3 linked regions of the Canis lupus familiaris genome follow. The protein of the gene in region 3 interacts with the protein of the main gene of each other region in a biochemical or structural test. Links are inferred from orthologs where the notes say so. Each region holds a gene or a part of one and is shown on either strand. Other genes may lie near its edges.

Evidence for each region. The genes of interacting proteins can lie anywhere in the genome.
Region 1: the proteins of CRK (region 3) and RAPGEF1 form a complex in vitro, tested with the Homo sapiens proteins (4 studies listed by BioGRID, with this or other methods). The link is inferred for Canis lupus familiaris from reciprocal best matches to the Homo sapiens genes CRK and RAPGEF1.
Region 2: the proteins of CRK (region 3) and ERBB3 form a complex in vitro, tested with the Homo sapiens proteins (2 studies listed by BioGRID and IntAct, with this or other methods). The link is inferred for Canis lupus familiaris from reciprocal best matches to the Homo sapiens genes CRK and ERBB3.

What each region holds. Positions count from the first base shown.
Region 1 is NC_049230.1:52,613,320-52,617,931, forward strand, and holds part of RAPGEF1 (rap guanine nucleotide exchange factor 1), read left to right. Parts: intron 1-673; coding exon 674-826; intron 827-1,288; coding exon 1,289-1,412; intron 1,413-1,859; coding exon 1,860-2,043; intron 2,044-3,321; coding exon 3,322-3,831; intron 3,832-4,612. UniProt on the Homo sapiens protein: Guanine nucleotide-releasing protein that binds to SH3 domain of CRK and GRB2/ASH. Transduces signals from CRK to activate RAS. Involved in cell branching and adhesion mediated by BCAR1-CRK-RAPGEF1 signaling and activation of RAP1.
Region 2 is NC_049231.1:764,066-768,677, reverse strand, and holds part of ERBB3 (receptor tyrosine-protein kinase erbB-3), read right to left. Parts: intron 4,506-4,612; coding exon 4,440-4,505; intron 4,299-4,439; coding exon 4,180-4,298; intron 4,076-4,179; coding exon 3,934-4,075; intron 3,595-3,933; coding exon 3,481-3,594; intron 3,388-3,480; coding exon 3,267-3,387; intron 1,053-3,266; coding exon 979-1,052; intron 800-978; coding exon 709-799; intron 471-708; coding exon 265-470; intron 58-264; coding exon 1-57. UniProt on the Homo sapiens protein: Tyrosine-protein kinase that plays an essential role as cell surface receptor for neuregulins.
Region 3 is NC_049230.1:45,570,176-45,575,410, forward strand, and holds the start of CRK (adapter molecule crk), read right to left. Parts: upstream 3,463-5,235; 5' UTR 3,356-3,462; coding exon 3,115-3,355; intron 1-3,114. UniProt on the Homo sapiens protein: Involved in cell branching and adhesion mediated by BCAR1-CRK-RAPGEF1 signaling and activation of RAP1.

The sequences.
Region 1 (4,612 bases), about 7.0 Mb from region 3:
TACACTTAAGAAAGAATGGGAGCTAAAGTAGGTAGGCTATTTTGAGGCATGTATTCCTTTTCAGTGACTTGTGGGTGAGCACCTGTATTACTGTAAAATGTGTACAGCTCAAACACGTTTTGAAGTAGTGCCCGTTCTCAAGGTTAACTTATAGTCAGTGGGGCTCTTTCTCCGGATACCATGTGAGTGTGCACGTGACCACACCTGTACTTTTCCAGAGCAGCTTCCTTTCATGATTGGAAAGAACTTTGAAGGCCTGGGTTTTGGGGATTTGGCTTGAGAGCTTTTAGCTTTGTCAAGAAAATAAACTGAGGGCAATGTGGACAATTTTTAAGGCCTTGCAACAAGTACTACTACAAGCCCCTAGAAAAAATATAAAACATAAATTTGGAGCCTTTGGAGAGCCTTTAGACCATGGAGTCTGAGGCTTCCTCTTACAGACAAGGAAACTGAGATGCAGTCAGGAGGACTTGGCCAGGCTCCTGCTGTGTGTTGGTGATCCACCCAGACTCAAAACCCATCTCTGCTGTGGAGCTCCAGACACAGTGTCTAGGGCTCCTGCCCCTCGGCCCGGTGCCCCCCATTATTTCCATGCTCGGGTCCCATTGCACCCTGCCCAGGACCTCTGTGTGCTCTGTAACCTTCTGTAATCCAAGTTCTTCTCCTTCTCCAGCCAGTCTGAGCTCCCCCTGACAGATTGCGAGGTGGAGATTCTCAACAAGACAACTGGCATGTCCCAGTCGGCCGAGCTACTCCCAGACTCAACAGATGAGGAGGTTGCGCCCCCTAAGCCCCCCTTACCTGGCATTCGGGTGGTTGATAACAGGTAATTGTTTTTCTTGCACCTTCTTCTACTTATGATATAATCTAATGAAAGAATAGGTAGATGAACAAAATGAAGACAGTGCCATTAGGTCAAGAACTTGGAACCAGCCCTTTGCTCTTTGGAAGCCTTAGAATCTTGATCTTTCTTGGGAAGGGCATCTGTGGAGGATGTGAGCCCAGCCCCAGTACCTTCCCTTGCTACACACTCCAAGAACTCCCCTTGGAGTGCCTTATAGTCTTAGTATAATTTATTATAAAAGGATAAGAAAGGATTTTTCTGATTTTTGGTTTTTTGGCATTGATAGGATTTATTTGGGCAGTGATGGTGTGGGACAAGAGTTGAAAGTGTGAAAAGTAGGTGTAATGTGTCTGATAATGAAAGAATCCCACATTCTATACCCTAATGTCTTTTTAAAGAGTTTTTGGGTTATTCGGTTTGATAGAATTTCTTGGTCTGTTTCAGTCCTCCACCAGCATTGCCACCGAAGAAAAGACAGTCAGCTCCATCCCCGACCCGAGTGGCTGTTGTTGCCCCCATGAGTCGAGCCACCAGTGGCTCCAGTTTGCCTGTTGGAATTAATAGGCAGGTAATGTAGCCCCATCTGGCAAGGCAGAGGAAGGCTTTGGGTTTGGGAACTTTAATCCTGAAGCTAAAAGAAACCCAGTGGTCTTCAGCTCCTAGCACTGAGAGGATCATTCCTTCTCTTGACAGGACTACAGGACCTGGTAGAAATTCCCACATGGCCGGGGAGGGGGGGGGGAGGAATGGAGAGACTGGAGCTGAGGAGTGTCTCCTGAGGACATCTGAGCCTGGCCCCAGGGCCCTCGCTTGCCACACAGTCCCAGCACTCGTAAAAGCTTCTTTCTCAGAAGTCACAGACATGGGTTTTTATTGCTTACATCAAAGACAGGCTTTCCAACCGGGTTTCTGAGTTTGGCAGTCTCCTTCCCTAAGTAAACGTACTGATTTCTCTCCCCTGGACTCTGCCACCATTTCTCAGAAGTGACTTGGGCTTTTTATTTTTCCACATGAGGATTTTGATGTGGACTGTTACACACAGAGGCGACTCTCAGGAGGCAGCCACTCATACGGCGGAGAGTCGCCCCGTCTGTCCCCCTGCAGCAGCATAGGCAAGCTCAGCAAGTCAGATGAGCAGCTGTCCTCTCTGGACAGGGACAGCGGCCAGTGCTCCCGGAACACAAGCTGTGAAACACTAGGTGAGTCCCAGGCATCTTGGTCATTCCTCCTGTTTCATCATCTTTTGGTGGCTGCTCTGGGGTCACACGGCCCTAGCCAAGTCGTTCAGAACCTGTTTTCTCATCTGCAGAGTGAGGGTACCAATATCTACCTCTCTCAAGGAGGTTGAAAGTTTGGATGAAATCACATAGGAAATCCTCAGATGGTAGCCATTATTATGGTTAATCTGTCAGTGTACCATCTGACTCCCTTTGCCAGCATTAAGAACCATCTGTTCAGAGCTGTAGATGAAGGGGGAGAGTCCTTGACGACTTTTGACAGAGGGTGAAGTCAAGTGACCAGCACATGCTGACCTCCTGGTTGGTGCAGAGCATGTGCCGTGGGGGCCGGAGGAAAGTCTAAAAGGCACTTGGCAGGAGATTTCAAGAGCGTTAAACTGCTCATGTCCCATGAGCTGGACATTTCACTTTGAGAATTTATTGTAACATGATCAGAGATTTATAGCAAGATTTCTATCCAAGGACATTAATCTCAGCATCACTGGGAGTACTGGTAAACTGGAAGCTAACGACTCAGCGGTAGGAAATCTGATGAGTTGTCATATATCCACTTGGTAGAATAAATATGTAGCTCTGAAAAATCAGTGACAATACACTAGATAAAATCTAAGACCATGGACATCGCAGTTTCTCAGTTGGATTTAAAAAACAAAAAATCCTAGGGGGGAAAAAAGACTTTTAAAGAAATCCATCAAAATGTAAACAGAGGGCAGCCCGGGTGGCTCAGCAGTTTAGCACCGCCTTCAGCCCAGGGCATGATCCTGGAGACCCAGGTTTGGATCCCATGTCAGGCTCCCTGTGTGGAGCCTGCTTCTCCCTCTGCCTGTGTCTCTGCCTCTCTCTGTCTCTCTCTGTGCCTCTCATGAATAAATAAATAAAATCTTTTTTTTTTTTTTTAAAGTAAACAGATACTTAAATTACGGGACTGTGGATGATTTTTATTTTCCTGATATGGGTTTTTTTGGCCATATTTTCTACAGTGGTCACACATATTTCTTTTCTTTAAAATAAGAAATTAGGAAAATACAAAGAACAGGGTAGCAAACAGCCATTTTCCCACCTGCTTTTACTTTTTCAGAGGGAGAAGAATGGGCAATATAAAATAAAGCATATAGATGAGATGGGAATTATGTTTGCATTGCACACGAATAAAAGGGATTAGGAAGAGCAGAGAGTTGGATGATTTCTTTCTGCAGGGCCTTGTGGCTAATGGGTATGTTTCTCTTGTTGTGAACACAGATCATTATGATCCTGACTACGAATTCCTTCAGCAAGACCTCTCTAATGCAGACCAGATACCTCAGCAAGTGGCCTGTAACCTTAGCCCATTGCCAGAGTCTTTGGGAGAGTCTGGGTCTCCATTTCTTGGCCATCCTTTCCAGTTGCCTCCAGCGCCTGGCAGCTGTCCCCAGCCAGAGGGGCCCTTGGCCCCAGGACAGCAGATAGACATGCCACCTGCTCTCCCTGAGAAGAAGCGCAGGAGTGCGGCCTCCCAGACCACGGACAGCTCTGGCTGCAGGATGTCCTACGAGCGGCACCCCTCACAATATGACAATATCTCGGAAGATGACCTGCAGAACCCAGCCTCGGTCCCGTCCATCCCCTTCACGCCCTTTGCTGCTATTCTCCCCTTTCAGCAAGGAGGGTCCTCAGCCTCTGTCGAATTTGTGGGTGATTTCACTGTTCCTGAATCAACAACGGGTGACCCAGAAAAACCACCTCCTCTACCAGAGAAGAAAAACAAACACAGTAAGCTTTTGTCGAGCTGTTGTCAGGAAGCATACTTTGTAACCTAAAATGGTATTGTGTTTTATCTGAGCGTTAGGCCAGAATCAAACCAGTGGCCTCGTAATTTCATAAAAGATGGGGCCCTTGGTACATGGACACTTCAGGAGCTTTGTTTTGTCAGTACTGGTGATGGTTTTTAGAGCCTGATAAGCCGGCCTCTCTTTATGGCCTCTTAGATCTTAGGCCAGGCCTCCACAGAGTCCGAGTGTTTGGCCAGAACACACAGCAACAAAGAGAAATGAATGTCACAGCTTCAGGACAGCATAACAGTAACATCCGGGTAAAGCAGGATGGACGTTTGAATTTAATTAGAACTTACTGCGCCCACAGAGGGGTTTTCTGAATATCCCTGACAGCGTGTGGGGTTAGAACTCTCTTTAGAGAGTTCCCTGCCCCCGCCCCCCCATCCCCATTGCAGACATGAAATGTCACTAATGACTTAGAATCTGAGGAGGCCTGGTTGGAGCTGCTGAGGATATTTCTTAGGCCAGATATATATATATATATATTTTTTTTAGGCCAGATATTTTTAATATATGATGTTATTAGGGCCGGGGAAGGGAGACTGAAATTTTAGATTTTTGTAGTTGGAATATTTTCCAACTGTAAATTGGCCATCAAATTCCTAAGTAGAGTCCTACAGGAGATTGTTTTTCTGCTAAACTGCTCCCCGTTGCCAGTCTCTTCCTGCTCTGCCCTGTCCCCGGCTCCACTAGCACAATTCTGTTCCGTCTTTCTTGGA
Region 2 (4,612 bases), on a different chromosome or scaffold from region 3:
CTGGGCCCCAGCATCCCCCAGAGGAGCACAGGGGATCACACACTTTGCCCTCTGCCACTGGGAAGGAAGGGGTGAGACAGGAGGAGTCAGCTCTCCTCACGTGCCTTCTGCTGAGCTCTTCCTCTTAAGTGCCTCCAGCCTAACACACCCCTCTCCTTGGCTCTACCCTCTGATCCCTACTCCTGAGCAGAACAGTTTTTACACACTGTACCCTCTCCTCCCTGACTTCTTTTTCCCGGCCACCCTCTGGGCCCTTCCCCTCACCGCAGTCTCTGCGGGGCCGATTATGCTTGATGTCCAGCCTCTCTTCTGGAGGCCCCCGAAGCAGCCTGGTCCAGTTCAGAGAATGGTGGTAGCAGAGTTGCTTGTTGGCACTTATGTAAATACGCCCAGCACTAATTTCTTTCAAAGATCGGAGGCCCAAAGATGTTATATTCAAGTTCTTCATGATCAGCAAAGAGAAACCCCGGCTGAGAACAAGGAAACGAGGTAAGAAGGGAGATTACACAGGGGAAAATGACCATGCAGTGGATTCCTTTTCATTTAACCAATGTGCTCTGGGCCAGTCAGACCGGGAAGAGAGATTCCCCTTCCAACTCTCAGCCCTTTGGGCATGCTGAGACAACACGTGTGCTTCACTCAAAGATGCCTAAGAAACAGGGTTCATTGCCTGGAGGTACTACCACCACCACACTCCTAACTACTCACTTGTATAGGCTTCTGCCCCCAATGGTTGTCAGGTTGGAAAAGACACTGAAGTTGTGCATGTGGGGAGGCCAGGACTGGATGTTCAGGTAACCTGACGGGTTGGAGAGAGGCGCGTCAGCGGGGAAGGAGTCTTCCCTTCTTGCCTTCTCAGGTTCTAGTGGCCCCTCTCCCATCACTTGGGACATGACTTTGTAACTAGTTATACACCAATTTGTGTCAGTGGTTCACTCATTTCTCTCAGAAAGGGTAGCAGCCTCTCTTCCCACTCACCTGTGATCTCCCGTACTGTCCGGAAGACATTGAGCTTCTCAGGGTCCAAGGCAGGGATCTTGTGCCAGGGGTCTCTGGAGAGAACAGTCAAAACCAGTCAACAAGATACAGGTACAACCCAGTCACACCTAGCCTCAGAACTTAAGTTTCTTTTTTCTTTCTTTTTTCCTTTTTAAGATTTTATTTATTTATTCATAAGAGACACATAGAGAGAGAGGGGGGCAGAGACACAGGCAGAGGGAGAAGCAGGCTCCCTGCGGGGAGCCCGACGTGAGACTATCCCGGGTCTCCAGGATCACTCCCTGGGCTGAAGGTGGCGCTAAACCACTGAGCCACCCGGGCTGCCCAGAACTTCATTCTAATACCATCCTCCACTAAAAGGAAACAGGGCTCCTTGGAGAAATGAGTAGGGCGGGAGAAATATAACATGAGTTTATAGCATCTTATGCAAAAAAGGAAGTAAGTGCTCAGAGAATGAAGGGTACAAAGAATCTGGGATCTGGCTTGAAGAAGCCCCCAGTGGCCAGAACAGAGACAAATCAACACCAAAATAATAACTGTAAAAGATTATAAAGGACTGAGTGAAATAGGTACCAATCAATCAATCAATGGGAAAGGAAAACTGTTCCTAACACTAAAATGCCGACAAATAAATGCAAAAGGAATAATGGAGTTAAAAAATCATCATGTGGCAACTCTCATCAAAAAATTGATTCAGGGGATGCCTGGGTGGCTCAGCAGTTGGGCCTCTGCCTTTGGCTCAGGGAGTGATCCTGGAGTCCCAGGATGAGACCCACATCGGGCTCCCTGCATGGGGCCTGCTTCTCCCTCTGCCTGTGTCTCTGCCTCTCTCTCTCTGTGTGTCTGATGAATAAATCAATAAATTTTTTTTAAAAATTGATTCAGGGGGCGCCTGAGTGGCTGTTGGCTGAGCATCCAAGTCTTGGTTTTAGCTGGGGTCCTGATCCCAGGGTCATGGGATGGAGCCCCAGGCCAGCTCTGTGCTCAGCGTGGAATCTGCTTGAGATTCTTTCCCCCTTCTTCTCCCTCCCCATGTGCTTCTTCGCCAACTTGCACACCCGCACACGTGCACAAGCGTGCACACGTGTGTGTGTGTGTGTGTATAAATAAAATCTTTCTTAAAGTAAGTTGATTCGGGCAGGGGCACTTGGCTGGCTCAGTAGTGGTGCATGCGACTCGTGGTCTCAGGGTTGAGTTCAAGCCCCACGTTGGGTATAGAGATAACTTAAAGATAAAAATCTTAAGGGGCGCCTGGGTGGCTCAGTCCATTAGGCATTGGACTGATTTCGGCTCAGGTCATGATCTCAGGGTCCTCCACGTGGGGCTGTGCTCCTGACATGGCCCCACTTGGGATTCCCTCTCTCCCTCGCTCTTTTTTAAAGGATTTTTAAAAATTTATTCATGAGAGACACAGAGAGAGAGAGGCAGAGACACAGGCAGAGGGAGAAGCAGGCTCCATGCAGGGAGCCAAGGTGGGACTTGATCCTGAGACTCCAGAATCACGCCCTGGGCCGAAGGCAGGTGCTAAACCGCTGAGCCACCCGGGCGTCCTTCTTCCTCTCTCTCTTACATAAAGGGGTGCCTGGGTGGCTCAGTCAGCTGGCTGTCTGCCTTCACCTCGGGTAACAGTCCCAGGATCCCAGGATCAAGTCTCACATTGGGCTCCCTACTCAGTGGGGGAACCTGCTTTTCCCTCTCCCTCTGTAGCTCCCCCTCCTTGTCTCTATCAAATAAATGGTTAGATAGATAGATAGATGTAATAAAATCTGAAAACAAAAAACAAAAAAAGTAGTAGGAGAACACAATTTCTTTGTCCACTGCCGTGCAGTGAGACAGTTATCAGATTCCTTGGGGGGGGTCTCAAGGGATTCAAGTCCTGGGTGGCAGACAGAGTTAGGAATGGTCAGGTACTGTGTAACCTTTAAAATTTCATGATTTATATTCCTTTTATTTTTTTTATTTTTAATGATTTTTATTTATTTTGAGAGAGAGAGAGAGAGCAAGCAGGGGGAGGAGCAGAGGCAGGGGGAGAGGATCTCAAGGACACTCCACACTAAGCACAGAGCAGGATGCGGGGCTTGATCTCACGACACCTGGATCACGACCTTAGCTGGAACCAAGAGTCAGACGCTTAACCGACTGAGCCACCCAGGTGCCCCTGTGATTCGTATTCCTAATCAGCTGCACATATGAAGGGTTGAGCCAAATGCAATGAACCGTGAGAGGATGGATGGAGTGGGGGTTAGAGAGGGAATGCAGAGTCTAACCCATTGAGGCCAGTGATCAGAAAGTCCAGGTTGCCCAGGATCTTGGTGCAGTTCACAAATCCATCAATGTTGCTCGAGTCCACAGTCTGGAAGCGGCTCCCGGAGCCTGTCCCCTCACAGGCTGCAAACACAAAAGAGGCTCAGTGGGTGGAGCCTGATTGGTCTCTGGGGAAAGGAAGTTCTCTTCACCAGCTCTTCACCATCTCCTACTCACCTTTGGGGCACAGCCCCCCACAAGGTTCACACATCTTGAGTCCATTTTTATCTACTTCCATCTTGTCAGGAGGACAGGCCCGGACACAAGACGTTTGATCGACCACAAAGTTATCTAGGGAGAGGAGGGCACCATGAGAGACAAGAGAGGAACACTGCCAACGAGCAACTGAACCTTGCTCCCTCCTGCTCTGTGCTGGATCTGTCCCAAACCACCACCCAAGGTTCCTTAAACGCTGTCCTATGGCTGAGAAAAGCTCTTTGCTCTTTGTTGCAGAACTAGGAGCAGTTGCTAGAAATCATGGGAAGTAGACAGGACAGTGGGGAGAGGATTCACCGGAGGTGATTAGATTACAACCTACATCCTCTACCACCCAACTTGATCCCTATATCTCCTAAAATTTTTTCTAAAACCCTGGCTCTACTATCATTGTTCCTCTTCTTAGACACTTACGGGGACAGCTGGCTACACAAACTCCACCATACTGATACTTGGTGTGGGGATTGGGTTCCAGCTGGAAAGTTAGCTTGTTGTAGACCAGAGGCTGTGGACACTGGCGCACACAGGCCCCGCTGTCATTGAAGAGTCGGCAGGCCTAGGAACATAGGAAATTCATAAAACTCACATTATGTAAGTATTCCTACTTCCTCCCCAAAGCCCACATCCCCACTTCAGAACCAGGCAAACAGTGGTACATACAAAGCAGTCTGTATCCTGAGGGCCTGAGCAGCCCCCTGCACACTCATCATGGCAGCACTGGTTGGGGTTGGGCCCAAAGCAATGACCATTACACTGAGGGGCACAGATGGTCTTGGTCACTATAGAAAGAAGAAGCACTGCAGTCAGGGCTCTGACTCTTGCCCTCTAGTCTAGGCTTGTCCTACCCCCGGTGTTGACATAGGTCGGGGCGGGCAGGGATATTAAAAGTGTATGAGGTTTTTGGAGGGGAGTAAACCCACATGTCTGGCAGTCTTCTGGTCTAGGACCCCAGCATCGCCCCTTGCAGGTCTCATGACACGGGGGACCTGGTTGGGAAAGAAAGCAACGCAAAGGGCCGTTGAGGGCTAAGAAAGGCTTGCTTGAGTCAACAGGGTATGATGTCAGCACGCAGGCACCCCAGTCCCACAAAGCA
Region 3 (5,235 bases):
TCCGATCCATCCTACCCCATGCCTCTAAAAACTGTATCTGAGCCATTCCATATTAATTCTACCCATGTATTATGTCCACAAAATATGCTATATAATCCTAAGCAAAAAGTTCATTTTTCATCTTCAATTTGCCAAATAAGGATTTAAAAGCCTCATCATTGACTTTTATTTATTTATTTATTTATTTATTTATTAAATTTTATTTATTCATGAGAGACAGAGAGAGGCAGAGACATAGGCAGAGGGAGGAGAAGCAGGCTCCATGCAAGGAGCCTGATGTGGGGACTCAATCCCAGGACTCTGGGATCGTCACGCCCTGAGCCAAAGGCAGAGGCTCAACCACTGAGCCACTCAGGCGTCCCTCATCATTGACTTTTAGATAAAAGACATGTATTGTCCAAATACTAAAGCTAGTTTCTTCTGGTCATCCTTTCCTTTTGGTCTTTAAACAGAACATAGGACCCTGTGACAGAAACAAATCTTCTATGAGCACTGTTCAGATCTCAAAAGGAAAGAGAAAGAAGTACAGAATAGTGTCAGCTCTCTAGTCAGAATTCCGAAGTTGAAAATCTGGCTCAGTCATTTATCAGCTGTGTGACCTTGGGCAAGTTCCTGAATCTCTCTGTTTCCTCACCTATAAAATGAAAATATTTTAGTAAATAGAGATTACAGTATTTCTCACCAGATTGTTATAGACAGAAAATGAGACAAGGCACAGAAAGTACTCAGCAAAGTACTTGGCACAGAATAACCAGTCAATAAATGTTAGCTATTAATACTCTACACGCTTTTCTAAAATTAAAGAAATTCCTCTGTATAGTTTCAAAAAGAAAAGAGCTTGACGGGGAAGCAAGGAGAACAAAGACTAAGTAACCTTTATAAAGACAGCAACTCAATCAATTGCTCTATGTGAAAAACTGGGCACATTACCAGAAACAAGAATTAACACAATGCCTGTGAACTTTCCACACCCCATCCACAAACTCTGGCAATCTTCACCTTCTCTCTTGAGCCAAGGATTTGAACTCCTATCTGTTATGAAAAGGTGGAGCTCAATATCAAGGTAAGCGCAGAGATATAAAGTCATAACACAAAGGTGTGTAGAAAGCTCAAACCAGCAAACCTGCCTGTTGTCATCTCCAAATTTTGCAAAACGCATACATAAAAGGTTGAAAACTGGGGGTGCAGGAGGTTGAAAATTGAATTTCAGTGACAGTTTGACATATTACTGCACTGTAATGCACAACCCTAGATACCAAGAAGGTGGTGAAAAAGCACAACATAGGGATCCCTGGGTGGCGCAGCGGTTTGGCGCCTGCCTTTGGCCCAGGGCGCGATCCTGGAGACCCGGGATCGAATCCCACATCGGGCTCCCGGTGCATGGAGCCTGCTTCTCCCTCTGCCTATGTCTCTGCCTCTCTCTCTCTCTCTCTCTGTGACTATCATAAATAAATAAAAATTAAAAAAAAAAAAAAAAAAAAAGGAAAAGCACAACATATCGGGTTTAGGGCAAATTTATGTTCTATCAATATTCCTGTCTCATGTTATGCTATTAAACCAAACAGACTGGGACGTGCCTGGGTGGCTTAGCGGTTGAGTGACTGCCTTCACCTCAGGGCATGATCCTGGGTCTGGGGATTGAGTCCTGCATCGGGCTCCCAGCGAGAAGTCTGCTTCTCCCTCTGCCTGTGTCTTTCATAGATAGATAGATAGATAGATAGACAGATGATAGATAGATAAATAAAATCTTAAAATAAAAATTAAACCAAGCAGACTGAGAAGACCTAGGATACTTCCTGGATTTAAAGATCTCATACTCTTCCTATAATTGATACGTGTTAGCAACAGAGACTGACTATCCCATCTCCCTATTTCTGGCCAGAGTGAATGAATCTAAATTAGGACTATCCCTAAAGGGCAAGTTTGCAAAGGCTGGCTCAGGAGGCTCCTAATTCTTATGAGACTGGCCTGGAGCTAGCCTCAGCTGGTCAGAAGAAAACTGCTTCAATTTGAAAAATGAGAAAGACTACAACTCTTGGTGCTGTTACACAGATGATGGTAATCTGACAATAACCTCAGAATTACTCTGTATTTCACAAATCTCAAGTACTAAGTGCATGAACCTCCTTAACATTCTCCAAACAGCTCTAAAGGCGTAAGTAGGACAGTCACATCTCAGTGATCCTTGGTTAAGAAAGAAAAGGGCCACAGCCCCAACTTACTGAGCAAGAGGCCCTGACATATGACATTGACAATGCTTAAGTCCAATGAAATTGGAAGTTCCATTCACTTCCAAGGAAGGGACTGTTTCCACTGGCTTATTTCCTGGGAGGGGTGTGGGGGCATAGAATCTGTCCTCCACAAAATACCCTGAAAACTAGAACCCTCTAATTGTGGAAAAGAGTCTCTGGACGCCAAGATCTCTTGGACACGGTCAGCTGGACATCAACTTGTTCTGGGCTGATCACAGAGGGCTTACTTCTGTCACCAAGGCACTTAGCTCACCACCTTCGTCCTCCGCGGGGGAAGAGGACAGTAAAAGTATTTTGGAAAGATGCCCAAGAAAGGAAAAAGCTGACCGGTTTCCTGAGGGTGTCTCCATCCCTCCGGGCTAGTATGTGGTGACTTCCTATCAAAGGCCAGCAGGGGAGAATAGCTCTCCAAACCAAACCCGGCTCTCTAACAGTACAGGAAATGTTTCAAGCCTAAAAAGCCACTTGTAGGATTATCGAATTCATCCTGGGAACCGCTGCCAAGTGATGCCCCCGCAGTGCCAATATCCCCCTCCGCTCTTTGTCCCCACGTTGCCCGCCCTGCCCTAGTGCCTGGCCCCGGCGCTAGCCCCACCCTGGGGCCGAAGCAGTTCCCCTTCCCCTGGGCTGTCCTCCCAAGTCACACCCAGAGGCCTGGGTCAGCGGCTCCTCCTCCACACACACACAACCGCCAGTGGTGGGAACGAGCCCGGGCACCAAGGTACCCCCATGCCAGGGTCGCTCCAGCCCTCTGCCCACGTCCCTCGTGGAGGCTAGCTCGCGAGGGGCAGCCGGTCAGGCTGGCGAGTTCCGCGGCCCTCACCCCGCCCGGGGCCTCCCGTCCCGTCCCGTCCGTCCTCACCGGGCGGAGGCTGGGCGGGCGACGGTGGCACAGACGGGCGCGGGCCGCTGCTGTTGATGATGTAGTGGGAGACGCGCGAGTTCTCCGAGACGCTGAGCACATAGTCCCCGGGGCTGGTGCTCGAGTCCCGCACCAGAAACACCCCGTGCCGCTGGCCCTGCAACAGCGCCACCGCCTCCTGCCGGCTCAACCGCCCCCAGTACCAGCTACTCCGCTCCTCCGAGTCGAAGTTGCCCGCCATGGCCGCCTCCGCGCCTACACGCTGGGCCGCCGCCGGCACGCGCGCCCCTCCTGCCCCGGCGCCCGCCGCCCAGCGGACCGGCTCGGGTCTCAGCTTCACAGCAGTGCCCGAAATGGCGGCGGCGGCCGCGGGCCTTCCCCACCGGAAATGACGCGCACCTTGCCCCCGCGAGGATGCCGGGAAGGGGACCGCAACCCGCCATGGGGAGAAGGGCAAAGGACAGCTCGGGTGCGCACTGCGCATGCGCCGCCGTGTGCGTCGCCGCCTGGCGGGGATCGGGACTGCAGGGGATGGAGGGGCCAAGTCCAGGGCCGGTGGTAGGGGCTCAGCGAGGAGTCGGCGGAGGTTTGTGTTTGCGGTTTTGGCCACGCGGCTCCAGGGTTCGAGTTCCTGGAAGGCCCGGGAATTCTAGGCAGCAACTCCGAGACACAGTTGGACTACAAAAGATGTATGTGGCCTCAGGGCCTGAGCTCCTGGAGACTTTGGTCCTTTTCTGGTGGTTCCTCCATCTTCTCTCTAGACTGGCTTAAGTATTTTGTTTGCACTGATTGACTCAGCAGTTACTGACACCACATTTGCTCTGTGGGTGCAAAGGTGATCAAGGTTTGGGCCCTGACCTCACAGAATTCACAGACCAGTGGGAGGAAGCAGGAACAATGACAAAGGAATTCCAAGCACTGTGAGAGGGAACCAACCAGGAGCTCCAGCCCAGTCTGTAAAGGGATTCAGTCCTCCACCTACCAGAGGAGGTGGCTTGAGCTGAATGTTGAATGGCCAGTAGGGGAAGAGCATGCAAGACAGAGAGAGCAGAATGTGCCAAGCCAGGAGTTCTCTGGATTGAGTCTTTCAAGTCATTTGCCCAGATTCTTCTAAACACTAGTCGTGGCCAGGGGTATCCTCTATTCTCCTTACTATCATGATCTCTGTCTCTGTATTCCATATCTGTATCTGTATTCCTGTGAACAGCCTGTTCACTGGTGCCCTATAGACTTGCTGCTCTAAGTACATTGCACACATCTGACAGTGTGTGCTTTCTAAATTACAACTCTAAGACTGTTCCTACCCTGTGCACAACTTTTAACAGTCTCCAGAACTGGGACGCCTGAGTGGCTCAGTGGTTGAGCATCTGCCTCTGGCTCAGGGGGTGATTCTGGGATGTGGGATCGCATCCCACATCAGGCTCCTTGCAGGGAGCCTCCTTCTCCCTCTGCCTACATCTCTGCCTCTCTCTGTGTCTCTCATGAATAAATAAATAAATAAAATCTTAAAAAAACAAACAAACAACAGTCTCCAGAACTTAAAATTCCCAGTTTAGGTCACAGCATAAAATGAGGTCACAGTGTCCTCTTAACAGCTCCTACATGAACCTTGTGTTTCTTTTTTCTGGAATACCCTTTCACTCCTTTCTGGATCTGAATCTCAAATGTCTTCTCTTTTTTTTCTTTTTTTTTTAAGATTTATTTATTTATTTATTCATGAGAGACACACAGACAGAGGCAGAGACACAGGCAGAGGGAGAAGCAGGCTCCATGCAGGGAGCCTGATGTGGGACTCGATCCCGGGACTCCAGGATCACGCCCTGGGCTCAAGGCAGGTGCTAAACCTCTGAACCACCCAGGGATCCCCCTGTCTTCCCTTTTTTAACCAACTATTACTTCCTCTCTGCATCCATAGCCCTGTGTCCATATTATTTCCATTACAGTTCCTACCCATTGTACTGTAATCCTTCATTCACAGGTCTGTCTGTGTCCTACACTAGAACTCCTCAAAGGCCACACATCTAGTGTAGGAGGCACTACATAAATGTTACAACAGCTACCATTTATTCAGGGAATACTGCCTGCCAGGCATAGCGCTAACTGCCTTTAGTATGGATCATC